2 linked regions of the Lonchura striata genome follow. The main gene of each other region encodes a partner of the protein of the gene in region 2 in a complex. Links are inferred from orthologs where the notes say so. Each region holds a gene or a part of one and is shown on either strand. Other genes may lie near its edges.

What was found.
Region 1: the proteins of SIKE1 (region 2) and SLMAP are in contact, whole or in part, in a crystal structure (PDB 6AKM), measured with the Homo sapiens proteins. The link is inferred for Lonchura striata from reciprocal best matches to the Homo sapiens genes SIKE1 and SLMAP. Residues at the interface, in NP_079349.2 of Homo sapiens: Ile5, Ile8, Leu9, Ala12, Lys13, Leu16, Leu19, Arg20, His22, Asp23, Ala26, Glu27, Leu29, Val30, Ser33, Ala34, Leu36, His37, Val40, Met43, Arg44; in NP_001291349.1 of Homo sapiens: Leu168, Tyr171, Leu172, Glu174, Ala175, Arg178, Glu179, Met181, Leu182, Lys185, Thr188, Leu189, Leu192, Leu193, Ile195, Thr196, Ala199, Ser200, Thr202, Ser203.

What each region holds. Positions count from the first base shown.
Region 1 is NC_134614.1:12,308,737-12,324,776, reverse strand, and holds the start of SLMAP (sarcolemmal membrane-associated protein), read right to left. Parts: upstream 6,878-16,040; 5' UTR 5,954-6,877; coding exon 5,756-5,953; intron 1-5,755. Other genes in the region: uncharacterized protein LOC110471692, read left to right, coding at 7,329-7,487, 8,063-8,118, 9,732-9,966; protein DENND6A, read left to right, coding at 14,127-14,312. UniProt on the Homo sapiens protein: Associates with the striatin-interacting phosphatase and kinase (STRIPAK) core complex, forming the extended (SIKE1:SLMAP)STRIPAK complex.
Region 2 is NC_134632.1:1,909,059-1,925,718, reverse strand, and holds SIKE1 (suppressor of IKBKE 1), read right to left. Parts: upstream 7,512-16,660; 5' UTR 7,389-7,511; coding exon 7,230-7,388; intron 7,112-7,229; coding exon 7,006-7,111; intron 6,686-7,005; coding exon 6,543-6,685; intron 4,677-6,542; coding exon 4,563-4,676; intron 4,189-4,562; coding exon 4,099-4,188; 3' UTR 2,844-4,098; downstream 1-2,843.

The sequences.
Region 1 (16,040 bases), on a different chromosome or scaffold from region 2:
GGCAACAAAACAGCTGAGTATGTATCAACACATTTTGCAGAAATCTAGCTAGATCAGACTCAAATCAACACAACCAAAGTATCACAGTGACACAGACACTCCTCACCCACACGGCCCTTTACAGCATACATAAATTCAGTTACTTTCATTAGATAAATAAGCAAATGAAGCTGTCACATATATTATGAAAAATGAGAAGATAAAGCCAAATCAAAGTATTTCTCCAGTGCCATGTAAATCCACCTGCAAATGATCACTGGATTGCCCAACTAACACATAAGAAAGTAAAAAAATCAGTAACAACCTTATATAACGAAAATGTAGGGAAGCAAGGTTTTGCATTTATAAGCCTGGGACTAGGTACAAACCCAAACCATCCCATAAGAAATCTAAGGAAAACACATTTACTGGCCTTGATTCCAGCTAAGTAACCCGATTCATTTGAGGTTTGTAAAAATTCATTGCAAATACAAAAGGGATTTTTGTTTGTTTTTAAAGCCTAATCAATGTGTTGGTGTTCCTGGCTCAGGATAGATGCAGCATGACTGCAATGGATCAGCTCCAAGAATTACAGTATTAACTCTGCAGCAGTGGCTCTAGATGGTATCTCTGCAGGGAAATCCTTGTCAGCACTGACTTACCTCTACTATAAATGGCTGCCCTCACTCCTACACCAGCTCCTAAAACCATGGGGCTGAAGATGGTTGAAAGCAAGAGCTCCCTACCCCATACTATTCTCATGATCATATCAGTGTAAAATGGGATGGTTCATTCAGGGTGAAAAGCACTTACATAAAAATATTAACAGGTGTATGTGAGGGCTGCCTGACATCACCCTCTTACCAGAAGTACCTAAGCACTGGTGTTTCACCTCTGTGCATTACAGCAAATCCCAGGTCAGTCCCCCAGGGCACTTGGAACATTCACTGTTTCGAAGACAATGTCTTCAATGCAGACTGTAAGCATACAGAAACATCAAGAGTACTGAAAAATAAAACATCCGTTCATCTCTCGGACAACAATCCTAACAGAAAGTTGAAAAGATATAATAGAGGAAAAAACAAATAACAGACACTACATCTATCAAAATAAGTGCTACTGATACATGGGAAACTAAACACAACTTTATATAGATCAGCACTAAATAGGCAAGAGTATCACACAGGATTCTCTACTGGAAGCAGCAGGAAAAAAATATTCCCACCAAAACCCCGCAATTCCAAATACTATTTTTCATATCCCACTTAGTTTTTAAAGACAAATTTACTAAAATACTTCTGAACAAACAGAACATCCACAGAAAATGTTCTGTGCTTTCCTGCCTCATGCCAAGTTCTCAATATCCACAAAACATTTTATGTAATGTAAAGCAAGTAACATATTTCCTCTTTACTAATTTTGTTTGCTTTCTTTCATATCAATTTACTTTACTCCCTAGTACAATACAGCAAAAAAAGACTATCTAATCTCAACTCCTGTTTGTCAATGTATTTCTTGCATTAGTGGTCCAAAATTAAGTGCAGTATGCTAGGCAGGGTCTAATAAGCTGCAAAGAGTTCTTCCTTTCCAAGCGCAGCCTCGTGCTTGTCCTGAGGCTCCTGTCTGCCCCTTCAGTCAGCAGGGCAGGTCCCAGTGAGTGGCAGCCCTGCCCTTGAGCAGCCCAACTCACCCCCACCACACCGACACTCACAGGCTTGGTGTCATCCCAAACACAACCAGAGTAAACGTCACCGAGTCCTTCAGATCACTTTAAACTGGCTGTGCCTTTGGGCTGGTTGTTTTCAGTTGCTGGGGTTTGGTATGATTGGTTGGGTTTTCCTTCTTGGATTTTTGGTTGGTTCTTTTGGCGTTTGGTTTTTTGAGGGTTTTACTGGGTGGGGAGAGGGAATCTGTTTTGTTTTTGTTTTCTTTAAGTATTTTGTAGTATTTTTGTCTCACATATTATAAGTCTAGAAGTCATAATGCACAGCTGTAACAAATTTCCTTTACTGTTACAGGGACCACGGATTTCAATATGCTACTTACCACTTCCATCACCTATATATGAATGTGCTCAATTCAATTCGTATCCACTTTGAATTAAATGAAAACAACAGCATTAGCTACCATTAACACATCAACTTGTGCCTACACCGTTTTTTTCAGTTATTAAAAATGACTGGTTCTTTGGGGTGCTTTTGATCTAAGAAAATATTTTTCACAATTTCTCAGAGCCTTTGGTAAACTGTGGCAATGAATTCCCTATAAAAGGTACTTATAATAGGAACTCACAACAATGTCAGGTGCTGAATAATTTGAGATTTTGAAAGCCTGGATATCTATTTGGAAGCTTCAGGTTTCTCCTAAGAGCTTCTACAACATCTGTCAGAAGCATTTCAGCCTGGAAGTCACATACAAATTCTCAAAGGTCTTCCACTTGCTTATTTTTAGAAATGAAAACAAAACCCAAAAAAACAAGTTTAAGATTATTTCAGTTACACAATTTTTAAGAGTTTCTTCCCATATGCAGTTATTTGAGCTGAACAAACACATTTAGATTTTCTGAAGTATAGCCCACTTTTTCTTTCACTTTGATTCACACTTTTTGGAACACTCCATACTCAGCACAACATCTACTTCCTACGTATATAGTGAGTCACTTTTATAGGCACCTATAAAAAACCCAGATTCATTAACTTGTAATTACTAAAAAAAAAAAAAAACAAAATGAATTCTAATTATAATATTCTAATGTTATCATTGCATGAAAAATCCACTAGTTAACTAGGAGTTATTATGCTGTATCTACAAACACAGGCAGGAAGAGGCATTGCACTGGTTGTCTATAAAAATATTACTATGCACAGAAAAACTCCAAGAAAATCCCACCACCATCTCCTTCCACCTTTATCATACACACACTTAGGCTTACATTTATGTTTAAAATATTTTAAAAAGCAAATCCAACTTTAAGTACCTTCTTTTAATTCCTATGTATTGGTGATCTTGAAAACTCATTCTATTTGCAACCTTAATAATGCTAGTGTTACATAGACATTATCTCCCTGGGCAAATAACTTTTTTCATGCATAATTAAAGCACCTTTATACAAAAGAAACATTCACATCTTCCAGCTGTAAGTAACATGTTATCTTCAGCTTAGTTCTACTTATGCAACGTATTTCAGCTCATACCTTCCTCTGCCTTAGGAAAAAAATTCTGTACTACTTTCGTTGGCATAGCTTATTGATGCTCCCTCTCTTCAGGTTCTACCCCTGTTTACAGATAATACTGACAAAATTGTTTATAGACTATGTAGTAAACAGGATCACTCACATGATTCACTAAACAAAATAAAACTCCAAGCCCTCATTAAAAAAAAAAAAAAAAAGAGTAATAAGTATAACTGAAAGGCAGTTCAAGAGGCAACAGAGCCTGGACTGAGTGACTGGTAGTGCCCAAAACTGTTATTGCCAAAGTCCACAAGTTATGAAACTGTAGTCCCAGATCATTAACAAACTATTTTGAAATATCTGAAGGTTTTTTCTCATTACTAAATGAACATTTGAAGGTCTTTTATATTTTGAAAAATCCAGAATTGATGAATGCCCTATATATAAGGTTCTAAGAAATGTTTACTAATACTCTGACAGAGAGAATTTCTGCAGGTTTAAATATAGGTCATTGATAGGATAATGACAATTTCCTAAATGAGATGTGCTTATTAGCAGTTATGTAAACAATGATAATAGATGTTCCTGCACGTAAATGTTCTGGCATGTTTTTGTTTATATTTTGAAACCACCACAAAATTTTTTTAAGTAGTTCTTGTAATTCAAGATCATGCCTGTATTTCTCAGTATCTTCTACCTGCTTTTTCACAACAGCATTTGATACCTATTATCTCTAATGGTACATTTCCCTCACCCCTCCAACTGTCTCACAGTTCACCATTCCAATACTCAACCAGATCAAAAGCCCGACCATACAGCCAGCAAACAAGCATCAAATCTGAAATTCTCCTCACTGCTATACCCGTGCTTTAAACCTTTACAGCACCACATCTAACATGAAGTAGGAGTGGATTCCAGGGCATGATCACAAACCCATTCTTTAGTTGTTTACTATCGCTACAAATGCCTACCTTGGCAAGTTTCATCAGACCTCTGTCAAATCTTCACATGATGTTATTTCCAGAACAATCAAATATAATCCTTTTAATTACTGCTACTACTAAGTTGCTATTTTAAAACAGGTAAGTGAGCAAGCATACGAATTTTTACCTATATTAGAGGAGCCAACGCTAACTGAAATTTAAAAACAAACAAAAATCCTCATAGCTGACGTTTTTTGAAGCTTGTCTATTAGTTAGCAGACTTGCTCGACACTCAGTGCTTTGTCAAATTAACCATCTTGAAAATGACGGACCATATTTGTAACCATAAAGCACATGGGGGTCTTAAAATCTTGATAAGTCATAAGAAACGTCGATAAAAAGCTATATGCATAATACGTTTTAATTTAAAAACAGAGCAATAACTTGGAACATTTTACTTTGTTGAATCAAACAAGAAAGGTTAAAGACTAAACTGAAAGTATTTCAAACACTTAAGTTTTCTAGAATCCAAGAATGCAGATCACATACACAATAGAGCCAAAGCAAGATGCTTAATGAAACGTTTAATACAGATAGCAGTTTGCACAATTACCGGCAGGTAACTTGAAAGCCTTAATCTAGCCTTAAGAAATTAAATGCTTGTCTTGTCCCATCACGTCGAAGTATTGCGTAATATAGGATAGTTAACAATGGAATGTTTAAGAACTTTTACTGCCTTTTACTGCTTCTCATGCTGTGTCATACTACTGAAAAAATCTGCATGAATTACAGACCATATTATTCTTAAAATCCAGGGCTACACTGACTGCATATCACAGGAGGACTTGGTGTGAAGCTAAAAAACCAGCTGACTTAGTTCATGTTAAGTTCTAGAGCATAACATCAATGTAATTGGAAATAAAATACAGTGCTGAGCAACTGCAGTCTGCCCTTTGTTAATTTTTCGCTGGATATTTAAAATTAACTTGACAGTCATTAAGTAAAACAACTTTACTTGTCCCAGTTCAATCCCTAGTGGACAAAACATGCACTACAGGACCCCTCAATTTTGCTTAACAAGACTGCCAGACTTTAGAGAGGAACACTTAAGAACACAGGATGTATTTTAAAACCATTTTCACTTACAATAAGACTATTTCACGAATGCCACCCATTACACTCCTGTTGCCAGTAATAAGCCTCCTATTGGAACCAACAAAATACTCCACCAAATTTCAAAAGGACAAGTAAGAAGAGTGTCAAATAAGAAGAGTATCTTTTTAAAATCCATTTTTCAACACTTCTCATGATCAATTTTCACACATTGATAAAACAGCGGTTTCTCTGCATTTGGAAAAAAATACTATTACACCACTATATCAACACAATGTACTTTCACATTTGCACATCTCACCTCAAATTCACCTATTTCCAGTAATAAATAAGCAAAACCTTTCAACTAACCATTTTCAACTGTTAGTTTCATATACTTTTCACAATATTCAAAGTTTCTGCTTAGTAAGAAATTACCAACTTACCTGGAAAATTACCACTTCAAAACAAATCTTACTCCTGCCCTATGCAACCATATTTACAACAGCAAAACCAGAGTGATCCGCAATCTACAGGGACTTGCTAAAACAAATGGGCAGTTTCAGTGTTTTTAAACGAACATCTTACCTTGCCTGTCTTGTGATCAAACCAGACAAGAGCATGGTTCCTGGACAGCACTTTGCAGTCAAACGTGGCATTGTTCTGGGCTGGCCGGCAGCGAGCCACGGAGCGGCCGATCTTGACAGGCTCGTCCAGGTAGACATGACGCTCCTGAAACGGGTGGGAGTTCGGGCGGCAAGTGAAGATGGCCAAGGCTGAAGGCATCGAGGACAGATTGTGGTTGCCACACCAACCAGAGATGAAGAGAGCCTCTTCTGATGCAGACCGTCCTCCACAATTTTAAAAACACCTCCACAGCAACTTTATATTAAAGCAGGACAAATATTATCATATGAGAGGCCTAACAACTCATTATTTCAGTGTGTAAACTAATTCTGGCAATAATCCAGTGAAAAAGTCCCATTATGTCTTTTAATATCAGCAGTGGCCCAAAAAAAGTCTAAAATGTACAACTTTCAATCCATCCTCCTCTGGAAGAATAGGAAAAAGCATCTGATTCCTTCAGAGAGAAGCAAAGGCCCCGTGAAAGAAGGATACAACGTCTTAAATCCAAGTAGATGAGTCATACAAGTACTTTTGTTTGTAACCTCAACTGCCTTGTTCCCACCCCCCTTCCGTAAACAACACTGACCAAAAGTCTGACCAATGCAACATTGAAGCAAGAAAAGGTTTAGGGAAGGGGGATGAAGGAGAAAGATTAGTGTCCTCTCACACACGGCACAGATCAGGAACTGGAAGGTGAATACAAAGCCCTCGTTCCACAACAGGGACCTAATGGTTCACCCAGCAATCCGCATTTCACCATCTTCCTGTGTTAAACCCCAGCAGAATAGGTGGTCCTCGATATAGGATGGAGTGCGAGAATTACACTGGTTTTCTCCCTTACACCAGATAAAGCTGAACTGGTCTACAGCTTCTGGGAGCCGCTCAGATAAGGAACTTGATAAGGCATGGAGAGGCTCCCAACTCGCCTTCTCCCGGGGACAAACCAGCGCGTGGGAAGGGTTCTTGGGGCCGGCCCGCGAGGTGCCCTGACAGGTCGCTCCGCGGCGGCGGCTCCGGCAGCGGCGGGGTCGGTGCGCGTCCCTCGCGGCGGCTCCGCGGTGCTGTAACGGGGGCTGCCCCGGCAAGTGCCGGCCGGGAGCCCCGGCGCGGGGCGCGGCGGCGGCGGCGGCTCCGCTCAGCCCCTCCGCAGGTGACTGCGCATGAGGCGGGCCCGCTGCGCACCCCCGCGCTCTCCGCCCGCCCAGCGCGGCTCCGCTGCCCCGGCGGCGGGAGAGGCCTGGCGGCCGGGCCCGGCCGCTCCCGCTCGGTCGCTCTGCCGCTCAGGAGGCCACCGGCCGCGGGAAGTTTCCTCCAACCTGCGGGGCCCAAAACAAACCGGGTCAGGCGCGTCCCTCGGCGCGTCCCCCCGCGTCTCCTCGGCCCCGCGGGCGGCGCGGGACGCGCCCCGCTCCCCCCTTACCTTGCGCGCAGCCGCCGCCATAGCGCCTGGAGCCCTTCCCGGTGTGGCCGCGGCGGCGGGGCCGGGCGGGGCGGGGCCGGGGGCGGGCAGCGTGCGCACCGGCGGGGCCCGCGCATGCGCCTCGCGCGCGGCGAGGCTGCGGCACGGGCGGGCCCCGCCCCGCTCCGGGCGGCGGGGAGGGGGCGGCGGGCCGGAGGGAGCGGGGCGCGGGGCGCGGGGTGCTCCTCCCGAAGGGCGCGGCTGGGACGAGCCGGCACGGGGCAGGTCGCTGAGGTGAGTGAGCCCCGGCCCCCTGCCGTCGCTTTGCCCTCGCTGTTCTCAGCTCGGGAGGGAGGGGGCGAGCAGAGCCCGTCAGCTCTTATAAATAAGCGGGAAGGAGTGGCCCCAAGTTGTGTCAGGGGAGGTTTAGGTTGGATTTTAGGAGAAGGCTTTTCACCCAGAGGGTGGTCGAGCACTGGAAATAGGCTCCCCAGGGAAGTGGCTGTGGCCCCAAGACTGCCAGTTCACAAACCTTTTGGCCAAAGCTCTCAGCTCTCAGGCACACGGTGGGATTCTTGGCAGGCACCGTGCGCAGGGCCGGGAGTTGGACTCGATGACCTGATGCCAACTCAGGATGTTCCGTGGTGCTGTGAACGTGCGCAGCTCAGAGGAGCAAGCTGGGGTGACACGTTCTCAGCAGAGCTTGCGTGAGAAACTGCAAGAGTCTCCTGAACATCCTCCTGCTTCCCCTGTGCGCGTCTGGTCGTTTTATGACGGCAGATTAAAAAGCTCGGGAGCCGCGGTGTGGTTTGACGTGTCCTGGCGCCGGAGGAATGCAAACATGCCATGTTTGCCATGTCTTATTGCAGGTTGGCAGCTGGAGCAGGGGCACTCCTGGAGCAGTGGCTGCAGGCACAGGACTGAGGTGGGGTCACTGGTGCTGTGTCTTCCTTCAGTACACCACGGAGCATCATCCAAGGTCATATTTATGCCTGTTTTCTAGAAGCCAAGGAAAGGTCACTTGTCAAGGTCACCCGGTGCCAAACGAGTCTCTCCAGTCCAAATACATTTTTAATTCCGTCATTCTCTGTAAAGCAAACAAGTGGGAATTGTTGCTGTAAGATAGATGTTGGGGTCATGCCAGCACTATAATTACCCGGTGACAGGGTGTTAGGATTAGGGATATGGGAGATGGCAGAAAGAGCTGGCAGCCATGGAGGACAGGAGTGGAGCTGGGCCAGGCACTTCAGCAGTGGATAAGGGGAAAAGCAGGGATCAAGGTAAGGCAGGGCAGTGTATGAGACAAAGCATGTTTGGTGTGTTCTTAGTTGTAGCACAGTAAAATCTCAGGGCTGTCTTCATTTTTTTTTCCTTTTCTTTTTGACTACTCTGTGATTTGGGGAAAGGAGGTTAATTCATAACAGACTAGTTTTTTCCCCAACAATCCAGTGAGAAAACAACAGCAAAACTAGGCTGTAGATCTGTGTTTGAAACAGAGAAATGAAATCCAAGATTAAAGACAAGTCTGATTTTGTGAAGACAAAAACAAAAAACTGATAGGTGGAATGTTTAGAACTGTTTATCTGTAGTTTTAATTCTCCTGACAGGGAAAAAAAAAACCTGGCACATCCCTTAATGGCTTTCATCAGCTTATGAGATTGTACTACTCTGATAAATATAATCATAATTTGATTTTACTAATTTTTTTAGTAAGTGGAAATTTAGTGTGGCTGTTGCTTACAGCACACAGGGTGCCATAACTAATCAAAGGGAGAAGGAAAGGTATAAAAGGAAGGTGGAGAAAGTGGGAATAAATTTAGGTCCATTAGGAGTTACATTTGAGGGAATGAGTTGCAAAAGTAGAAATAATTGAGAGCACTTTGGAATTGCAAAGTGTAAAAAGTGGGGATAAAGGGTACTACAGGTGTTGGAATGAAAATAATGTTTCTGAGAGCATTTTTAATATTTTTGTGTACATGTTTAATGGAGAAAGGAGACTGAAAGTAAAATTAGAGATGAAAAAAATCCATTACCATCTAAGAGAATCAGGGAAAATAATAAACAGCAGTGGATACCTTTCTCTGATGTTATAAGTATTTATACTAACAATCATATAACTGTGCCATTTAAACTGTAAGCCACTGGCATATCATGTTTTCCTGAACCCTTCTTCATCCCCTGGAGAAATCCCACTCTGACAGGCTCACGCAATGGTATGAGAAAACCAGATGGCAATGGTATGTGCCTTTCTAGTTCTCTGGCGCTGCCAAATGGCTCATGTAACAGCTGAGCTGTACCCACTGCTCATCGAGGACATTAATCTGACCCTTCCTTCTCTGCATGGGTGCCAGCTCTCAGTGGAGCTGCGTGGGTGTAGTTATCCCTCAGGCTTTTCAGCTCCTATTTCAAATTGCCTGATGAGTTCAGAGGTTATCAGGGGCAGAGCCAAGGCTAAGATGAAAATACAGAAAGAGGTTGCATTCTGAAATGAGGATACAATTATTGAATGGGTGTTACGATGTGTCTGCTGCTTACCAGAAAGTGTCCATCCCAGACGTGTGGAAAGCAACAGGTGGATGCGGAGTTCCGTGTGAAGCGCTCGGCCGCTGTGCTGTCTCAGAGGATGAGGAGGGAGAAGTGTCAGCCCCTGTCTCGCTTCTGTCGCACAGCTGGAGCGGGCAGGGCGCCTCGCAGCCATGTTGGGTACGGGCAGCAGGAGCTCACCGTGCCCCTCCGTTTTCTGGGCAGGAAGTCCGTGGAAATGTTACCGTAGCCATCATAACTGCGGGCAGGAACAGCCTGCTCCGTGTCCATCTTGGGTAAGGGAAAGGGAGCTCTGCAGGGGACTGTCACTGTCACATCTGTCCCCTGCAGAGCTGCTGTCTGTTTCAGGCGGATGAAATGCAGCTTACATAGTTCATGTGCATACCTGAAAAACATCTGGATTTTGGCTTGAGTGTGTCAAAGTCTTAATGACTTGATGAAAAAATGAGATCTTTTGCTGAAGGAAGCCTGTCCTGAATTCTGAGCTAACTGACTTAGAAAGAAAAACACCGAGCAGCATTATAGGCAACTCAGTGCCAGATTTCTGCCTACGGAGCAATGATGGTCTAAAAGGCTTCCAAAATAATTAATATATATCAGACTGAGTTTTCAGTGCAGAGGTATGAACCAGTTGCTTAGCGGGAGATGCTGATTCCAGAGAAGTTGTTACATTTGAAATGACTGAGGCATGCTGTATAGCAAAAGTCCTATTTCTAGTGTAAAAATTAAGATGCAAACTGATAATGAAATCAGAATAAACAGATAAGGAGAAACTTGAAGATGCAGTTTTCTATTGAGTTCTCATCCCTGAAACTCATTCATCAACAATTTATCCAATCAGTTTTGTACTGATTTTCAGAAATACAAATTCCATGTATAATTGCCATACCGCATTTAAAATATTACAGTCTAAGAAGGCATTTTCTGCTGTATAGAGCAGTGTGGAAATATAAAGCAAAGTTTGAACTGTTACTTATATCCTTATGTATCTTTTGCAAAACAAACTTGCCTCAGACGTAGCTTCTAAAACATTCTGAACTGAGCTGTCAAAAAGAAGTTTTCTCCAGTGTTAAAAAAAGCGGTTCTAGATTTAGTGAAGGGGTTACACATTTGTATTTTAGTGCTATTCTTATTCTTTTGTTTCAGACTTATTTTCTGTTTGTGATCTTTTAACTCTCTGACTGGTTGTGTAAAAAAAAAGTGAGTTATCTTTCAGCATTAATTTTGACAGAATAAGCAACTACCAGTTTCATCCTCTCTTGTCAGGTAGGTTCTCCATTTATTCAATTTTCTTTCAGATCCTTCCCTGCTCCTATTTCTGGTTTGCATTAAAAAAAGGATTCACGTATCCAGTATACAAATGAGTGTCTTACCAACATAATATTTACATTAATGTAATATATGTAGTGAGCATATACTGAATGTACTATTCAATTTTGAATATGTAATAAATATGAATGTTTTATACAATGATTTAAAATCTATTATTATGTGCTATATATCCTATCTGTTTATATATATAATGTACATTGTATAGTATGTTGATACTACATGTATTTGGTATATATACATAAGTATAATGTAACATGCATACAATTAATACATGTTATGCTAATATATAGCTAATTTTACATGCAGTATTTTTTTATTTCAAATTAAATCAGGCAAGTTGAAATATCTGGCATTTTCACTGCTTTATTATTTTAGCAGAACATAGTCATCATGTGACCAGCTCTTATTTGCTTTTCTATTAATATATCAATTTAACAGTCAAAATTAATATTGACTTTTTTGAAATGTTTGATGTTTTCTGTGGCTATTTGAAAAATGGAAAAGATGCTTTAAAAATAATTATGACTTTTTGCATCTGTGTGTATTTAACTGAATGTATTTATTAGCCCAAATATAATTTTCAAATACAAATAAAATACTGCTTTAAATCTTGAGGCGGGGGATGGAGGGGAAGATGAGATGAGCAGATGATGTTTATGCAGTACTTTGGTGTTTCTCTGTGGATGTGAGCAGTCTGCACAGTCACTCCCTGCTGAAGCTGATGGAACCTGGCCAGCCAGCAGCCAACACAACATTTGCTGCTACCTGATAGAAACGATCCTGCTGAGAGACACAGGACAGCGCAGCTGTAGGAGCAAGATAAGAGCATGGAAGAAAGCAAGGCAGGCTCAAACACTGGCCAGTTGTGGATATTTAGAGCCCAGCTGTCCCACCTTGGCCTTTTCTCATTTTTATTCCAGCAACTGACATCAAGGGCATGCTTTTTCTAGCAGTGTCTCTTGTCCAAACCCTTCCAGATATTGACAGATGGCTGTATTTCTGCAAAACAAGGCAGAGTTCCTGGAGATTTGTAAGAGCACATTCCATATGCAGAGCCCTAGTGTTTTATGAGGCTTTATTGCAAGTTGTATCAAAATACTCTCAGTTAGTTGGTTCCCCAACTCTGAAATCTCTGCATTGATTCTTCTTGAAGAAGAAACTCAGATGTTTCTAAATGTTACAATACATGCAGAAATATTTTTCTTTCTCATCTGAAGGAAATAATCATATTTTGTCAAAACTAAAATGTATTTAAATTAGGTAAGTGAAAAATTTTTCTGAATCACTCTTTATTGGGAATATCGCCAGTAGGTAAGAATCCTTTCTTCTGTACTTTATCAGGGATCACATGTCTGTTCTCTTAACTTTCTCCTGACAAAAGACTTATTTTTTAAGCATCTAGTGGAATTAATTTACTGTTTACTAAAATGTATCACTCTTACTAAGTACTTTTATTATTATTATTTCACATAGATACACTTCTTATTCACATGGAAATTCAAAAAGAGGCCAGCAAATCTAGAAGGACATGCATGATGATAATAGCTAAAAATTTTGGTTTGCAAGAATATAAACAAGGGAAGACTTATAAGAGGCAGTGACATGAAATCTTTTAAACCAAGTGATAAAAACTTTTGGCTAGGCCATTTCAATTCTTAAATGGAAACAGCAAATGAAATTCCACTGAGACTCATTGCGCTGAGTTGAACTTAATAAAGTTCAGTCTTAGTCATGTCTTTTTGTCAGGAGTAATCTTCTACAGAATTTAGGAGTTAACTACTTGAAAAATATGTGAGTCTTGCACGGTATCACTGCAAAATACCTGAAGAAGCTGGAGACAGCGAGAGCCTTCCCACAGAGCCCTGCCTGCCTGAGGCTGCACACTGCAGAACCCCATTCCTATCTCAGTTTGTATCTAACATTCACTTCACTACTCATGGTGTATCATAACTGAAGGCTGCTGTATCTCAAGTTATTACCATGATAATTTTGTGTGTTATAATTTTGTGTGTTATATGTTTATTCATCTTTTGTCTAGAAAATTACTCCAGTGATCAAAGCATACTTTAATTTCTAGCAGTTTGCTTTCGATAGATAAACAAATGTTGTTAATGGGCCTTAAGGAAGCAGTGCATCTAAGGAGTCATACATTTTCTTTTAAGTACGTATAGATGTATTATCTTGGTTTTAATATTTGCAAGGAAAAAAAATGGCATGTAGTGATTCAGGTAGCATCTCATCTACACCTACTGCTGCTGACTGTTCTAGTAGTAGTCAACCAAAAGTCTAGTGTGAATAATTAAATTAAAAGAGGTCAGGAGTCTGGGGGAGATGCATGAATGATATTTTATTTTTCTCTTTATTGTTAAATAAAGTACCTATTTAGCCCTTTTAACTCTACAAAGTGTTTCATAATGAAATATAAATAGCTGTTGGACTGTGCTAAAAGAATATCTGAAAGCTCTTATATTATTAAAGAGCTCGGGCTTTGGCTAAGGCACTAAAAGAGGGTTTAAGAGATTTGGATGCTTTTTTTTATTACCCCAGTTTCCTGTGAGGGTGAAGCTGTCCAGCCACCAGCCAGAGGGGTATTTCCATGTGCCTCCCGTGCCGTGCTCAGCGGTGCATAGGACACGATGGAGACACACCGGTTAATTACTTGGCGGCCACGGGGTCCCCAGCAGGTGCTGTCACTGACACGTCCAAGAGAACAGAAAGCGGATTGATCCGTTGCCTGCGAGCTGCCGGGCGGGCCGCGCAGAGCGGGGCGGGCTCCCGGCCCGGAGCGGCGCCCGCAGCCCGAGAGAGGAGCCGCCCCCGGCCCGCCCCGCGCCGCCCGCCCGCAGGGGCCGGGCCGGGGCCCCGCAGCCTTCCCTGGCGGGCCGCGCGGGGGCGCTCCCTCCCTACGGCCCCCGACCCCCCCCCCCGCTCCCCGCAGGAATGGTTTGGCCTCCCCTCGCTGCCCGCTTGGCCACTCCCACTCCGAGCGGCTCCGGGGGGAGCGGGCGGGGCGACGCGCGTCACCTGACGCCGCGCGGCGGGGCCGGGGTCGGGGCCATGTCGCGGCGGGAGCGGGGCCCGGAGCCGGAGCTGGGGCCGGGCGGTGCCGTGGTGGCCGCGGAGGATGCGGAGCCGGGGAGTCCCGATCAGTGCCTGTCGGTGCTGCCCTGGGACCGCTTCTCAGCCTGGCTGCACTGCGTGTGCGTGGTGGGCTTCGACCTGGAGCTGGGCCAGGCCGTGGAGGTACGCGCGGCGGCGGCGGGGGGCACCGCTCGGCCTGCGGGCTGCGGCGGGGCCCGCCGGAATCGGGCGCTTCCTCTGGCCCCGCTGTTGCGCCGAGGCGGGGGAAGCTCGGCCGTGCTTGAGGAAGCGCGGTTGTGCGGAGCGGCGAGCGGGGCAGCGCCCCGGGGAGGCGGCTCGGCTGTCCGGGGCAGGCCGGTGGTTTCGGGCAGCTCTCCTCGTGGCGCTGCTGGCGGTGGGCGCTTTGAAACGGTTTGCATCGTCCCGGGATCTGTGTGAAGGACATCGTCGGCTTTCTTTGCGTATGGATAGAGCTGATTTTTAGGGCGTCTAGGTGTTAAAAAGTATGATCATGAGGAGAATGTGAGTGGTCTTCATAATTAACAGCGTTCACCAGGTCGCTGAGGTGTGCGGAAAGGTTCTGTACGGGTTGGAAGAGTTTTCCTTCAGCACAAAGCTGGATGCCGGCCCCTGTCAGTGTTACAGCTGCGGCTGCGACTCCCAGCTGTGCAACAGGCAGGGACAGCTGTGGCACTGCTTTGGGAGGGCAGGGACAGGGACAGCTGTGGCACTGCTTTGGGAGGGCAGGGACAGCTGTGGCACTGCTTTGGGAGGGCAGGGACAGCTGTGGCACTGCTTTGGGAGGGCAGGGACAGCTGTGGCACTGCTTTGGGAGGACAGGGACAGCTGTGGCACTGCTTTGGGAGGACAGGGACAGGGACAGCTGTGGCACTGCTTTGGGAGGGCAGGGACAGCTGTGGCACTGCTTTGGGAGGACAGGGACAGGGACAGCTGTGGCACTGCTTTGGGAGGACAGGGACAGCTGTGGCACTGCTTTGGGAGGGCAGGGACAAGGACAGCTGTGGCACTGCTTTGGGAGGACAGGGACAGCTGTGGCACTGCTTTGGAAGGGCACGGGCAGGGACAGCTGTGGCACTGCTTTCGGAGGACAGGGACAGCTGTGGCACTGCTTTGGGAGGACAGGGACAAGGACAGCTGTGGCACTGCTTTGGGAGGACAGGGACAAGGACAGCTGTGGCACTGCTTTGGGAGGACGGGGACAGCTGTGGCACTGCTTTGGGAGGACGGGGACAGCTGTGGCACTGCTTTGGGAGGACAGGGACAGCTGTGGCACTGCTTTGGGAGGGCACGGGGAGCTCACAGTCCTGGGAAATGGAGAGAAGAATTACTGTTTGGATCAGTTTCACATCCTGGTTCACCCTGTTCGCCATGTGACTGCGCAGCAAACTCTTGGTCTGCAGGGAAAGTGTCTTTTTCTTTCTCTTACCTTAAAGGGGTGCCAGCATAAATGCATGGCAGACTGGCCTAAAATTCAACCAACCCAGCTATTACAATATGTAAAATATATAGCTGTTGGCCACAAAGAAATGCAGATAAAACCAGGATACTGTGCTAATTATCTGAGTTCTCTTCCCTTGATGTTGTATGGTGGTGTTAAGAACAAAGACAAACATTTCTGTATAACCTGTGGCTTGGGCAGCTGTTCTGCTCAGTGGCTGAGGGAAGCACGGCCTGTGTCCTGGCTGCAAACTTCTCCATTGACAGTCACATTAATTTAACTGGATGCATAAAATGAGACTTAAAATGTCTACGGAACTAAGGCCTGTTTTTTTGTTGTTGTTTTGGGGTGGTTTTTTTTTGTTGTTGTTGTTGGGGTTTTTTTTGTTGGTTTTTTTCGGTATGTAGCTGCAGGAAGAGTAATTAGCTTCA
Region 2 (16,660 bases):
GCGGGTCACATGAAGCTGCTCACAGCCAGAAATCACCCACAGAGCCCCACATGGAACCTGCCCGATGACAGCATTGTTCTGCTTCCCATTTCCTTCACAAAAAGAGGCAACTGCAAGGACACTCATTCTGTGGATCAGAGCACGTGCTTCCAGAAACAGCCCTCTCTGACGTGACCAAGGCACAATTTGATAAAGACTTCGTCTTCTCAGTGTGCACGTACAACACAGATCCGTGGAGATCAGGCTGCTCCATCTCTTTTTAGATGGATATTGGAAAGCAGCACAGAGCCCTTGGGCACCCCAGCCAGTACGTGACAGCCATGAGATGAGCCACCACAACAGCAATAAAGTCCTTTTCATGTCAGCAAAAAATACATATATGGGGGAAAAAGAATTAAAGAACTATCAAGGACATCTGTAAAGAATGTATGGAGAAAAAAACCCAAAAAAGTCGCTGAAAGAAATATCCGGATTTTTTAGGGGTTCTGCGCTGCGAAGACGAGCCCGGCGCTGGGTATCGCTGCGGACAGCAGAGAACCGACCCGGGACCGACGGAGCCGCCCAGGCCCGGTCCCCGCCGCGGCCCCGCTCGCTGCGCTGCACCAAGATGGAGGCGGCGGAGCGAGGGGCGGCCGCGCCGAGGGGCGGCGCCGGGGCCGCCGCCAGCGGGGCCGCCGTGCGCGGGGGCGGGCGGCTCCGGCCGGTGACAGCGGCAGGGCCGTTCGGGCAGGCCGGGCCGGGGGCAGCGCCCGCCCCGCACACAAAGGGGGGCGATGGCGGCCGCTCACCGCACACAAAGGGCCGCGGCCGCGCTGCGCCGGGCGGGGCCGCGCGCGGCACGCCGGGAGCCGCCGCCGCCCCTCCGCCCGCACGGCCCCGCCGCCCGCCGCGGCCCGGAGCCCCCGCGGCGCCGCCCCCTCCCGGCGCGGCCCTGAGCCCCGGCGGCTCCCGGGACGGCCGGTCTCAGGGCGGCCTCGGCGCCGCCGCCGCCCCCGGAGCCCCGCGGAGCGCAGCGCGCACCCCGCGCCCCGCGGCCGCCGCTCCATCCCCGCACCGCCGGCCTGGTAGGCCGCACCCCCCAACCACCCCCCCCACCCCACGCGCAACGCCGGCGGGGCTCCCGGCGCGCAGCCCCGGTACGAGCAGAGATCCGCGGGCGTAGGTGCCGCGTCGCCCGGAGCCCGCCGGGGCGGGCGGGGGCGGCGGCGGCGCCCGGCCCGCACTCACCCCAACAGCTCAGCGCCCCCGCTCCAGCGCCGCCATGAGCAGCACGGCACGGCACGTAGGAGAGAAATCACGGCGCTCTCGCGAGAGCCGCCCGCGGCCGGGGGGGGAAAGGGGCGGGGCCGCGCGTGCGCGCCTGGAGCCCGGCGGGTGGCGCTCGCGGGCACGCGCCACAGGGGATGGGGGGGCGGCCAGTGAGGGTGGCAGCGCCCCCTGGCGGCCTGGGGAGGGAGAAACGGCTGAGGGGAGACGGGACCGGGGGAGGGGAGAGGAACCCCTGAGGGAATAGGGAGCCCCGGCTGAGGGAAGACATAAAACCCGCGCTGAGGGGAAAGAGAGCCCCGGCTGAGGGGAGACACAAAACCCGGGCTGAGGGGAGAGGAACTCCTGAGGGGAAAGAGCCTCGGCTGAGGGGAGACACAAAACCCGGGCTGAGGGGAAAAAGAGCCCCGTCTGAGGGGAGACACAAAACCCCGGCTGAGGGGAAAGAAAGCCTCGGCTGAGGGGAGACACAAAACCCGGGCTGAGGGGAAAGAGAGCCTCGGCTGAGGGGAGACACAAAACCCGGGCTGAGGGGAGAGGAACCCCTGAGGGGAAAGAGAGCCTCGGCTGAGGGGAGACACAAAACCCCGGCTGAGGGGAGACACAAAACCCCGGCTGAGGGGAGAGGAACCCCTGAGGGGAAAGAGAGCCTCGGCTGAGGGGAGACACAAAACCCCGGCTGAAGGGGCAGAGCCCCGGCTGAAGAGCAGGCAGAACCCCGAGTGAGGGAGGGAGAGCTCGGGCCAGGCCAGGCCAGCGGGCACACTCCAGGCCCTCAGGAAACCTCCATGGGGGGATGCCTCCGTGCTGGGCAGGCAGAGCTCAAGGGAGGGACACGAGCCTTGCGCTCGCTGGAACTGAAGGACCAGAGGATCAGGCGAAAATGCTCTGCCTTGTCCGCATGTCATGAAGCTTGAGTCCAGTTTCCAACACACGTGGAGCAAGTTCTGAAACTGCCCAGCAGCCCTCAGGAACTGTGTACAACCAGCCATTTACAGTCACAGGTTCCAGTCAGAGATCCTGAATAGGACAGGAGCAAATGGACCATGGAGCTGTGCCAGGGGAGGGTCAGGCTGGAGATCAGGAAAGGTTCTTCCCCCAGAGGTGCTGGCACTGCCCAGGCTCCCCAGGGAATGGGCACAGCCCAAAGCTGCCAGAGCTCCAGGAGAGTTTGGACAGTGCTGCCAGGGATGCACAGGGTGGGATTTGTGGTGTTTGTGCAGGGCAGGGGTTGCACCCCATCCTTGTGGGTCCCTTCCAACTCAGGATATTCTGTGAATATATTTCAATTTCCTTTGCCTATTCATGCCTGCTACTTAATACACTCAATCAAAGCAACTGCTATCTAGTTTCTGGTTTTTTTCTGGCTGCACAGCAAGGACCAAGTTGGAGGGATGTTACTCTACACTGAGAGAGGGAAGATGAAAATGCATCACAGTAATTCCAGATTATATTAATTTAGAAAAGAGAAAGTTCAACATTTTGGTCATTGCAGTATTTCAGTCAGGTACAAAAGGCTTGGTAATATGCAGAATACATGGAATTCCCCCAGGATACACAAAACACTTGAGAAAGGCTTTCCCATTGGGTTTTTTATTCCCTCCTGAACAATTTCTAATAGAAAAGGATTGTATACAAGAGCACTCCTGTACAGAAATCCCTTAGATCTACCAGTCTTGCTGGGTATTCCAAATGTTCACAATGTCTCCAGCGTTCACTGTCTCTCAGTAAGCACAGGAACGAGTCACCTTCTGCATCTATCAAAAGTCTCACTTGGGAAAAAGTGGCATTAAAAATGTAAGCAAATAGTGGAAATGAGATGTTTACCATTCTTGGAAGAATATTCTTTGATCACGGGTAGGACAGAAATCTTTTTTATATAAAAGTGTCTTTAAAAATACCACAGTACTGAGAAACTCCTACAACACTGCACCTCAAATTCCACACAATACAGGCCCTGCAGTAACTATGGAACACCAGACTCACCTGTGATGTGACATTAAAATTCTGTGTATGAGGGAGGTTTGGTATGGCTTTGAGGCAGACCTAAGCTCCCTCTGCCCAAACCCAAATTTGTGGGAGGCCAAAGAGCTTTGATCTGCAGGTGCTGTGCTCTGGCAGGCTCTGAGCACACCAACAGAGCAGGGCTGGCTGCTAACTGGGAGCACTGGGAAGGCTGGGACAGGTCTATCAATCAAGAAAGAGGAATCCTTCAAAAAAGTGTGCGTTAGAAAGGGTCCTTAACCCCAGTCTTCACCCCTAAAACAAGGCAAAGTTTGTTCTGAATAGGACTGACTCCTTCAAGTGCTCTGCTGGCATCTGCTGCTCTCTCAGCTGCTCTCAGCAGTGGCCAGGTGACAGTCAGGCCAGCCAGACACTGAGGGTCACTCACTGCAGAGCCCAGCTGCCCCGTGCAGCCAGAGCAAACCACATCCCTGCCTCTCACACTGTGGTTTCTCAGTCATCTCCTGCTCCTTCTAGCAAGCACAATAATCACAACCTGCATTATGTTCTCTAGCTACAGACAAGGTGGATTTAAGAGCCATCTGCACAGCTGGAATTACTAACTAAAGCTCATAAAAAATAACAAAGGGAGAGAAAATGAGCCATCACAAGGGAGGATACATCAAATACTTCAGTTAAGCATCTGAGTGCTGCAGGTACTAAGACAGGGTGCAAGCTTTTGCCATCAACACTTCATAAAAATGCAGAGAAAACAGCCCACAACTTTAAAGATAAAACAAATATACAAGGAAACACCTGAAACAACAAATCTTTGTCAGGTAGTTTCGTAACAGTCCCTTGAAGGCTTGGAGATGAGGTTTGTGTGGCCTAGGCTTCACAGTCTGGCAGATCTTCTCTCCCCACCTCGAAGGACTCCTTGCTGATCAACAGCAGCTCACGCAGCTCTTTGTTTTCAAGCTGCAAAATCAACATTTTTGCTGAAATAGAAATGAGCTAATTCACAACTAAAGGACTATCACAGAAAAGTGCCAACTTCATAGTTAGAAGTTGCTGATCTTTAAACAATCCCACTCCTTCACAGATACATAAAGTTTGTACATTACACTTTGTAATGCCAGCATTAGTACAGTGCTGGCACACTGGAACCAATAATTTAAAGTTTATCTTCTGGCTTAATTTGTTTATATATAGTTACAAAAATAATACGAACATTAAAAACTTAAAAATAAATAATCATGTTCTGCATTTCCTGACCCCATCCCTAAATTTTTTTTAAGTCCTTGACAGGAACATAGAAAACACAGAGAAAGTCTGGAGACCTCTGTTCTTACCTCCAACTGAGCCAGTTTCTCCTGAACTTTAAAGAACTGCTCATCATCCACTTGAACAGCTTTTCTCATCACCTTTCCCATCTCACATATTCTGTCTATTTGACTTTCAATTTCCTAAAAGACATAAAATTAATACATTCAGTAAGTTGAGGCAAAAGCAACAGTCATAATTTATCCCTTATAAATCACTTACTTCCATCTTCCTGATTTTGGATTTTCTTTCTGTTTTGAATTTTAATAATTTCCTCCCAAGGACTTGAAAGCCTTTCTGTCTTGTATACTCAAGAATAAGAACTTGTACCTTATTGTCCTCTATCAGCAGTCCTTTATCAGTGAAAACAGTGCAGAGAGACACAGCAGGCATCAAGATAAGGCACCCTGACTTAAAAGGAAATAATTTCAAGTGTGCCAAGGTCTGAGACAGCATTCAGGTTCATGATTAGTAGGCAGCAAATTTTATTTAGCTTTATTAGAAAAGCCTGACTGAATTTATTAAGACACCAAAAATAAATGCAAAGATGATTTCAAGTGTGGAGTAAACAACTTTACCTCAGAAAAACATCATGCAACAAAAGTAGAGCAAGTAAGATCAGAGCCTCCTGAGGCAGATTTTACAGAATTTGTCTAGATACAGCAATAATCCTCTGGAAAATGCATTTTGCTGAAGGTCAGAAATGCACATGGAACAAACACTGACAAATTCCAGTATGAAGCAACAGTTCCTGCTTGAAGAGCAATACATCACATAATGTGACAGGTGACAGGGTGGAGTTTCTTTAAGTGCCCATAGTTTTTCTACTACCTCTGAAAGATAAATTTATCACAGAGCAGAGAATTGATTTTGAAGTCCATTATTCAGAAAGAATGTAAACAAATTAGAGCATTCAGAAGACAGCTGGAGAACACGAGAGACTTCTGGGAAGAAAGATTATGATTTTTTCTAAACAGGAAGATGGTTATACTGAGAACATAGTTCTTTTAAAGAAATAAGCAGTTTGTTAATGTTCTCCAAATGGTGGGGAGGAAAAAAACTCATGGACTTCACCTGAAGTACAGAAGACTTTGTCTAGACATTGAGACAATCAAGGGATATCCCTTCAAGGATTCCTTCAGAGCCCTTTCAGCTTTGCATTGTCAAGTTTTGTTCAAATGTAAAACCTTGATAAACAGCAATTCGTGCACTCAGGGTGGCACTGGAAAACAAACCCAGCTACACCTTCACATGAGTTAAGCAACTTAGAAAAGAGAAGTGAATTGCCACATATCAGTGCACAGAAAGACATGAGAGGAGTTAGGCTGGCTCCAGTTCCAATTAAAAAACTACAAGATATGAGATGTCACTGGGTTGAACCAACCTGCTGTTCTCTAAGCAGATAAAATGCATTTTAAAAAATGCCTAACACAATTCCTAAGTCTTAAATGGAAATGTAACATTATTCTATTGTTAATAGATACCTAATAGGAAACAGGCAGCAGTTATCAGCAGCCACATCTCAGAGTACTGAAGTCACTGAGCCCAATGTACAAAAAAGGACACTTTAGACTACTACACAGAGTATCTGGATTTAAAAACACTAGGGAGTAAAATCGCTTAAGAACTAAACATATACAGTTCACAGAGTTTAGGAGTTTTCCCCTTTGTTACAGCTACTGAATAGGAATTATAACAACTTGTACATCTTTGATTTTACTACAGAGGATCAGGCACATTAAGCTTAAGCCAGGGAATTCACCACCCAGTTAAAAGTAAAAGCCTCCACCTGGGCTGTGAAGGGGCTGTGCCTCTCAGTGTCCTCTGGGACAGCTATTACTGGTTGTGTGCTCTGAAAGGAGCAGAGGGTAAAATACCAGCAAAGAGAGTCAAGATTTGGAGAAAATGTATTTTGGGGCACAGACACTCCAGGAATGGAAACAAAGATTGCATGACAGCAAGCAGGGGACAAGGGTCTTGAGCACTCTCCTGTCCCCATCCCACCTTACCCCAGAATTAGCCTGATGGACTTTCAAGACTGGCTCTGCCTCTTCACGTTTTCTCCCTTCCAGCAGCTGCAACATCTGCTTCCTGTACTTGCTCATGATGAGTTCCAGCGCGTCCTGGTGCTCCTCCAGTGAGACCCACAGCTCTGCAGAACACAGCACGTCAGGGCCACGACCGGCAGCCACAGGAGCCCCGAGGCGCTCGCTGGGTACCAGCTGCGGGACCGGCGCTGCCCCACCGCTCCCCGCCCCGGCCACTGCGGTGGGGCTGCGCGGACCCCCTCGGCCGAGGAGACTCCCTGACCCGCGACCCACCGGGGCATCAGCGCCGCTGCTCTCCTCGACAAGCCCCTCTGGCCGGGACCAGCGGCCGCGCATCCCACCGGGACAGCCCCGCACACCGCTCAGCATCCCCCGCGGCCCCGCAGCACATCGCCCGCCAGGACCCGCCCCCGGCCCCGCTCACCCCGGTTCTCCTGCTGCAGGTCGCGGATCTGCGTGTTCTCCTGCGCCAGCACCACGTGCGGCCGCAGCCGGGACGGGTCGGGTCGCTCCGCCGCGGGGCCCGGGCCCTGCCGACGAGACGCGGGGGTCGGTCCGGCCGCCTCGGGCCTACCGAGACGCGGGGGCCGGTGCGGCCGCCCCGCCCGGGCCCCGCCGAGGCGCGGGGGCCGCCCCGCCCGCGCTCACCTGCTCGGCGCAGCCCGCGCCCGCCTCCCGCATGGCGGCCACGCGCCGGTGCAGCACGGCCGACTGGTCGATGAGCGACTCGGCCGCCGTGTCGTGCTCCTTCAGCCGCTCCAGCAGCGTCCGCGCGTCCGTCAGGATCTTATCGATGGTGCAGCTCATGGCGGGCGGCGCTGCTCACCCCCGCGGCGGGCCCATGTCCCGCGCGGCCCCGCCGCCGCTCTCCCCCCTCAGCCGCTCTCGGCGCCTCTCCGGCCCCGCCGCCGGGCGCGGGCGGACGCGAACCCGCGGGGCCGGGACGCCGCTTCCGCCCGCGGCCACGGCGCCGCCAGTGCGCAGGCGCGGCCCGGCGCGAGCCCGCCATCCGCCAGCGGCTCGCCTGGCGGCGCCAGAGCGCCACGGCCGGCCCGGGGGGCGGGGCCAGAGCGGGGGCGGGGCCAGAGCGGGGGCGGGGCCCGGGCTGCCCCCGCCGCTCCCGGGGGATGCTCGGAGCTCTGCAGCTTTGGCTGGTTTTGGGGTGGTTTGGGGGCGTTTCGGGGCGCCCCAAAGCCGGTCTCCCCCGGCACACGGCGCCCCAAAGCCGCCTGCCCCAGGTGGATGTGCCCCCGTCCCACGAGCTGCCCACGCCGCGGTCCCGCGTGTCCGAGCCCCCCGTGCCCCGAGAGCCCCGGGCCCCGGCCCCAGCGCGGTGGGGGGAGCCCGGGACAAGGCCGGCTCCGAGAGGCCGCCGATCGACACAGGCTGTTTGCGGAGGGCCGGCGGCCCTGACCCCGGGTCCCGCTTATCTCTGCGGCTGCTCCCTCCCAGCGCGATCAATCCCGGCTGGGATCTGCGGGGCTCCCATCTTATCTGATCCTGCTGTTTGTCTCTTCCAACAGTAAACATCCGCCACTCAAAATAACAAGCTGTGCAATGCTGACTCGCTGCTTTGATTCTTATTTGCTAACTGAAGCTACTGTTGGTGATCTGGGGTGTCCTTGAGGCTTTGTACCACAAAGTTTTGTTCAATAGCACCAGCTTCATTAACAATGTTTTTCAACAATAATATTTCAGCAGGACTGCCTTTGATTTGAATAATATTCCTAATTTAAATCCCTATTTACACAGACACATGAGAAAACTCCAGGATGCTCTATCAGATGAAGGTTCTTTATGATCCCAGAGATAATCAAGGCTGGTGCAGAAGTGCTGAACGAGATAATTTTATAAAATCAACAATCTCAAAATATGCACACAAAGCAAAAGAGAACAGGGTAAGCAGCTGCAGTTGGAATATTTCATCAGAATCAGATTAATTAGTAAAGTATGAGAACTATTCTGCAAATTTGGGAAATGTAATCCTTCTGCTAGTTTGGAAATAAAAGCCCAGACCATGTTATAGCATATAAGGACCTTCTGGTCCTTCCCTATTTTTCATCTTATTAGAGACTACTAGAAAGTTAGGACAGTTTATTGGAATTCCTTTTTCCTAATAGGCAAGTCACGAACACTTGGAAAACTGACAAATATTGCTTTGTGGACCATCCTGGGTATGGAACAAGTTGGGTAAAATCGTCCTGTCCCAAAATGGACACATCGTCCCTAAGCCCTAGCCAGCGCTGGTTTTCCTGTCCCACTCTCACATCCTCACATGACCCCTCGTGTGCAGTTCAGCACCTGCTGCTGCCTCCCTCTGCTCCCATTCCCAGCTCTGTGCCTGCCTCCAAAGCCTCTCCCAGAGCTCCCATTTCCACAGAGCCTGGGCAGGCTCACAGAGCAGGCCTGACACAGCTCCATGGAACGAGCTCTGTGTGCCAGAGCCATCTTTTCCTTTTTCACTTTCTCCAACACAGGGATTTCTGTGAAACCAAACTTGCAGTCCCTGAGGTTCCACTTAATTCAGGCACTCAATGAGCCATTGAGAGATGTGGCCCTGGGAATTCCAGTTCATCCCTAGGAAATCAGCCGCAGGAACCCACAGTCTGGGCAGAGTGAAGGATCATTTCATCATTTCATCGCTGCAGGAGCTGCACCAGGATGTATCTGAGCTGCCTGTTCAGCTCTTGTGTTTATAGTTCTGATTTAACACTCACTTCCCCCTGGTGTCAGAGGTGCCATCCTGGCCCTAGGCAAGAGCAGGGGTAGGTGAGGGCAGCACTGCTGTACCAGACTGTCATTTCAGGATCAGTTTATTTCCTCTGTGGCATTCTGGCTTCTAGGAATAAAATTCCACGATGAGAGAGATGAGAATCTATGACACCACTGTCACACTGCCCTGAGCCCGTGCTCCCACTCAGGGCTGGGGCTCAGCCGCTCTCCAGCAGATCTGGACATGGAATCATTTGTCCAGCTCCAAGGGACAGCAGAGTGAGTTCCTGTGGCGCCAGGACACAGAGAGGATCCCAGTAGGACAAAGATCCTTGGTTTAAATGCTGGGAATGCTTGTCACCAAAACTTTGAGTGTGTAGCAACAGAGCTTAAACAAATCAACAGATGAGCATTTCTGAGTAGGGGTGCCTTGTAATTCCTTTGGCTTATCACAGCAATTCTGTGTAAACTAAATAGAATGTATAAATTTGGCCTCTCAAACTTTTTAGTGTTTAACTTCAATTCGATTAAACACTTATGTGTGTGTACAAAGTGAAAAATGGGGTTATGAGAGGTTAATGTTTTAATGCTTTTAATAACTCTTAACCACATGGCTGTATTTTGTCAAACAGAACATGGGGTTGTTGTAGCAGGAGAAGTGAAGGCAGGATAGCAGAGTACTGGGACACTCAGAACAACAATGCTGCTGCAGAGCCCAAACTGCTCCCAGGCCATCTTTGGAAAATCAGAAATAGTATTTCTGTGCTGGGATAAATACATAACAGTTCTGAGTACAGCTGAGAAGGCTCTTGCTAACATTAGGAAAATCACAAAGAAAAGAAATCTAGCTGGACATAAAGTGGACAAAATTGCTCAGGGCACAGGAGCCCCTCCCCTATGGATACAGGCTGAGAGAGCAGAGACTGTTCAGAAGATGAAGTTGTGTGGAGACCCCACAGCCATCTCCAGGGTCTGAAGGGGCTACAGGGAAGCTGGAGAGGGACCCCTCATCAGGGACTGGAGGGACAGGACAAGGAGAAATGGGTCCAGGCTGAAAGAGTGGAAATTCAAGTTATATACATGGAAGAAATTCTTCCCTGTGAGGGTGGCAGGCCCTGGCACTGGGTGCCCAGAGCAGCTGGGGCTGCCCTTGGATCCCTGGAAGAGTCCAAGGGGCCAGGCTGGATGGGGCTTGGAGCAACCTGGGATGGTAGAAGGTTCCTGCCCATGGCAGGGGTGGAACAGGATGGGATTGAAGGTCCCTTCACATCCAAACCATTCTGGAATTCTATGAACAGATCAATATCAAATGGCAATGTCTGTGACAGATGGAGTGACATCTAGATATTGGAATTAGAGAACAGAATAAAGGGCAAATCTTTAGAATACTTCTTGGATTTTCAGTAAAATTATATTAATTGTAAGTGTGGTCAGCACAGGTAAAAACATTGTGGCTAAGTGTCTGAAAGCAAAAGTCTCCCATGGTGATGCAGCTGGGCACAAGCTTTTAAAAATGGAATGTGACAATTCTCATTTCCATTAGAAGCCCTTCCTTCAAAACCCAACTATTTCAGCAGTTACAGCTGTTTAAAAAGCAAACCAGCCCCCTCTCACACCACACACCCCAACACTTTCTGACTGCTTGCTTTTAAAATTAAGTGGTAGTGTTAAGACAAGCTCTCAGCTACTGTCACAATTTCACTGGTTTTGCCTTCAACAAAAGTGTAGCACAGAGACTCACGGGCCAGGAGCCCAAAGGAATCCTCCTCTTGCACTTCCCAGCCCATACTTCAAGGTAGATTAAAGTGGGATAATGCAGAGTTGTCCTGTGACAAGAATTATTACCAAGGAACTCAGTCTTATTGTTCATACTAATTATCTTGCTTTGATAAATCTTGAGGAGTCACCCACTGCACCACAGCACTCACACTTATGAGTCTAATATTCTTTCTACTGTTAAAACAAATGTCCTCAAGATGGAATCCAGGCTGGAAAAAAGGAAAAACATTATCATTGATAAATGGATACATCCAGTTAGTTCAGTCTCAGCAGCAAGACCACTGCTGATAAAATGCTGAGCAAGGCATTCCAGAATAATTATTTTGTAATGCTTAACATAGAGTGTCAAGATCTGCTTTATGGAAATGAGGTCTTGGCTTCCCTTTGCTGTACATATAAAGTACTGCAGTGCCTGTAGTTAGGAGTATTCTCTATGAACTACCAACTCTGGGGATTGTAATCAAACTTAATTGATAGTTTTGCTTTCTTCCACTTTGTGCCTTGCTGGAGTATCTGATTAACAAATCTGGTCTTCCAGCCAAGGGGAAACAGTTTTGGCAGAGGGAACTGAAAGGGGGAGGTGTTAGGATACCCAGGAACTTTGTCAAGGTTGAATGGATGGGTTTATTGTACCTACTCTGCCTTCAGCCACTGCAGATTAAGTTTAAGAGAATAAACAGGAGAAACAGTAACATTTTGTGGGTCCTGAGACTTTCAGGTGAGTTTAAGGCATCTTCAGTTTTCTTGAACTGAAACTTCACATAATGTTTAGTTCTTCAAGGTTGGCCTTACAAACCTGTAAGAAAATTCAAGGTGAAACTATCCAACAACTTCATGATTAAGAAAAAAATGAGTCTTAAAAAGATTTAAATTGTTCTTCCTTTCTGGTCTGCTATTTCATCATTTAATCCCACAAAAGCATTTAAGAATTTAACAAAAAAATGCATCTTCTGAGCTATTTCTCGTCCAGTTTGCTAATGAGTAGTTGTCTGATACATTTGATGCAAAACAAAGAGTATTTCTATTATCTCACACTAAAGAACATCTCTCTGCAGTGCCACATGGGAGCTGTTCACTGTGCAAAGTAACACCATCAGACAAAATCAGTACTCACAAGGCTTTGGGCTGCTTCTCACCCGGGACTGAGAGGTTCATCCACACCCATGAAGAACAATCCCAACAGTGTCAGCATTCCTGAACCTTTGGAAGATCTATAAATAATAGAAGAGAGGGGGAACAGAAAACTTGGGTTTTTTTATTAATTCCTCAACAAATTGGAAAGGGAATGCAAGGTCTCAGATCTCTCAGATTTTGGCATGGATGTATTTGCCAGTGTATTTTATGCCTCTGAACGATTTTATTTCTCTGACACAAAAATAGGTAAAGATTAGGTTAGATCATTTTGATACATGATCTGTATTGTTAATACTTCACTTTCTGTAATATTGCTCAGAACAGTTTACCAACAGGAAAGATTTAATCCTGTAATGAAATAATAATTGTTTTAATGTAACCTTTAACTCACATAGAACAACAATTACTGTAATTAGCAATTAGTTTTCTGAAGGCTTTAGTCATTTAGTATTTGACTCTTGCTTTCATCATTTAATGATTTACAGTAATGAGCTGGAACATCAGTATTTTGTACTGAAGTGGCCAAAATAGTTGTCCAGGCATGCTTGCCCTCATGTGACAGATCTCAGATGGCTTGAGGAGAAGTTAGCCAAGAGCAATAGGCAATGCCATCACTTCTGCTTCAGTTCTACTGAAAAACAAAAAAGTGACTGCTGTGCCTTGCAGTCAGGGCTCAGTAGCTCTTGGAGGGCTGTTACTTTGCTGAGATTCTGCCCTTTGTTTGAGTTTTGTTTGACAAATGCTTTATAAATGAGCAGAAGAGGTGGTTTATGTTTCATTAATGAGGCTGATAGTGGTTAATTACTGAAGTTACGTAAACAATCCAATACCAGATCAAGCCAAACGGGTCATTTATGTAGAGAAGATCCAGCTGGAGTAGATGCAATTTCCTTTAACTATTCGGTTACCAAATGAGTCACAGACATGTGGAAACTCCAGTCCAGATGAACAAAGAATTGTGCTTACCTTGAAAATGGATTGTGTCAGCAGGTATGGATCCAGGGAAGCTCTTCCTTCATCTCCAGCTCCCTCACCCACCAGATCCTTGGAGCCAGCTGCCCAGTCTCCAGGGGGATTTGGCTGCCCAGAGCTCCCAGTTTGCAGTGGTGGCAGTGAAGCTGCACAAGTGCTGCAGCAGTGTCCAGGTCAGGCTGCTATCACCACATCTGCTTCTTTTCTGTGGAAAAACGTTTGTGTCCCTTATTCCCCACTTCAGTGCCACTTCTGGATGTTGGCTCATGGCATGAACTCCTTCAGCTCCTAAATTCAGGCCGTATCTATAAGTGACACTTTGTTTACTTACTGCTAGTAAAGCAAGCTTGGAGTCTGGTATTATTTCCTTTGCCACTGAAGCAGCTCTGGGCACGTTACTGACCAGAAACTTCAGCAGTGTTTTACAGAATTGATGTATGTATAGGAAAATAACAGAAAACAGAGCTGGAAGCGAGTTTTCCAAAGTCCTTTACAAGAAGTCCTCTTTACAAACCAAAGCAACTCAGAGAAAACAATTCCTGAGTTCAATCTGGTTGCCCAAACTGATCTTCAAAACAGCCAGTGGAGAAGATAGTACAAGGAACTCACTCCAGTGCTATTTTTACCACAGTAATTGCTTTCTCTAGTTTGTAATTTAAATCTCCCTTACTCCTAAATAACCTTTCTGGGTTTTGATTATTTAGAAGCATGGAAAAGAGTTTATTTTCCTCTTCTTTGCAGCAGTATTTTAGGTGATTCAAATGTGCCCTCAAGTCTCCCATATTTGTCATGCTAAACTTTGAATAGGAGCAGTGATTTATTAAAATAATGTAAATATCTGTATTTACATAAATATATGTATTTAGCCAGTCACCTGGTCTGAATCACTTCATGATTATACAAAATAGTTTCATTACTACAGTGTAGAAGTTAATTAACATTGGGCTAATATTTAATTACTGCAATTAATTTCTACTACAACTTTTATATGGTTATTTTATAAACTTATTTATATACTGATTTTAGAAACTGATTTTACCCTGAATCCAACAGGCTTTATAAACTGAGTTGAATGAGGATTTGATGCCTTTTAAAAACCTGAGCTTCAGGCTTAAGTTCCCCTGGAGTCAACAGGCTCTAAATACCCACATCCTAGAGCTAATTTGAACATCTTATCAGTAAGGTGACTTCTGTCAGAAAAAAAATGCTAAAAATAAAACTCAGTAGCATTTAAAAGGTAACCACAAAATTTCACAAACCTCTGCTTGTTTTTTCAACTTTCATGAGAAAGGCTGGATGAAAAAGTCAATGGGATATTGTGAAAGAGATGCTTCTGTGAAAAAAATATTTGTTATATCAATTGTAAAACCTTCAGTTTTACTATTGAAGTTTTTTTGACAACTTGTCAAGTTTCTGTATGAGGCTGCTTTTACCAGAAAGACAAGTGCTGACCATAATTAAGCTTAGAACATCATTATCTTCATTTCTGCTGTGTAATCACTGTGTTACAGTCCCCCATCACCACATGTGATCAATGCAGGACATCTGAAAACTTAGAAAACCCCATAATATGCTCAAATAACATTTATTGGTGAGTGCTGTTTGTTCTTGAAAGACTCAACCATTCCACTCCACAGACAGAGTTGTAAATGGCACATGGAAATAAGTAGCCTTAGGGCAGCTCTTTTCTGGACCCCAAGGAATAGAACTATGTCCCTCTCTTGAAGGGTGATGGCCATTTATCCATGAAAACCTACTGTCCCAAAAGAGGATTTTAAGTGATTTTGCTGTAAGTTACCCAACAGGAAATTGCATTTTCCTTTTCCCATCTAATTCCATGCAGTATCCAACAGAAGCAGTTTTTCCTGAGGTGAATGGAGAACTGATCTTACACAGAAGGCAGGTGAGCTCCTCCTGGAGTGAGGAGATTTGCTGGGAGCACTGGAACAGCATGATACCTAACAAGAAAATTCCCTATCCTAAAGGTCACATCTACCTAGGAAACAATGAAAACATCACATTGCAATATTAATTTATTAGAAGTTACTAATAATGGAAGTACTCAGGGGGTTAAGAAGGAAATTTTGCTGAGTTAATGGCAATGTGAAGTTAAGTTCACTGAGGTTGTCAATGAACTGAGTGTGAGCCTGGTGTGTGCCACAGGGGTGTCTGAATCAGAACATGGAGGACAAGGTAAGTGTTTGGTGTTTGGAGGTCTTGGCCTGATCTAGCCTTTCCAAATTAAATTATTATGTCATGCGAAAATCTCCAAATAGTCCTACTGCAATATTTTCCCCCATTGGGAATTGAACATTTTCCATCACCACCCCGACATGTCAATGTGAAGCAACCAAAATGGGAGAATTTTGAATTCTAGCAAGAAAGCAGGATCTTCGTGCTGGGCAGGGAGGACTCTGGGAAGCAGTGACGTGAGGGTCCCCATGGCCTCTGTCCCTGATGACCCAGTTCTGCTGTGATTTATGTGGGCTCGCAGCTGCCCTTGCTCCGACCCCAGAGGAGCTGTGTGGGAAGTTGGTGTCTCGGAGCCGCGGCGTGGCTCTGCCGAGTGTCTGGAGCCCGGGCTGTGCACACAAACTGATAAATAGGGAAAGGCCTGCTGGGCTGCAGCTGGAGCAGAGCTGGGACCGGCACGGGAGAGGAGCTCCCTGCAAGCACCGTGAGTATTTCATTCCCTTCTCTGCATGCTCTGAGGTTAGAAACTGCTGCTCAAGCTATAATTCAGTTTGCCATGTGAAAATATTCCAGGCTTTTTTCTTCTTTACTTCCTTTTTTCTTTATTTTTAAACATCTGACTAAATGAAAACAGCAAATGTGCACTTTTAAATCTGGTATTTACTACTGCCAAGGGTTTGTTCCAACAGTACTTCATTTGACACACAGATTGAAGAAAAGCAACTTTTAAATTCAATCATTTTTTTCCCTTCCCAAAGTACCCAGAAAACTGTGAGCTTCAAGCAACCTCTAACCTCTTACATTAGAATGTATAAAAATTATGCTTTTGAAATAATTATTCATGGAATAACAATTCCAAAGGAAAATGTCAAGATTATTGCAATGTAGTCTATTGGTAAAATAAGCCAGTTCCTATTATGTTTATTATATGGAATATAATAACCAGGAAGGAGCACATTTAATAAGAAGAAAAGTGGCATTTCTTCAAAAAGGAGCTTTTGGGAGCTTCTTGGCACATTAAAACCAGGAAGAGCCGAAAAACCTTTAATAATGCATGTAAGCTGCATACAGGATCAATCAAGTGATCCTACAATTTCCCCTGCAAAATCATTCTTTAATTAAGCAGTGATTACTTAATTGCTTGAGTGAAATTAAATAGATTAGCTGGCATCACACCTACTTGGCACTGACTATGCTCAGTTACATTTTTTTTCAGTTTTTGGCTTAAATTTTCACAAAATAAAAAAACAAGCTTTGCCTTCCAGCTGCAAGCAAAGTACAGTGATTAA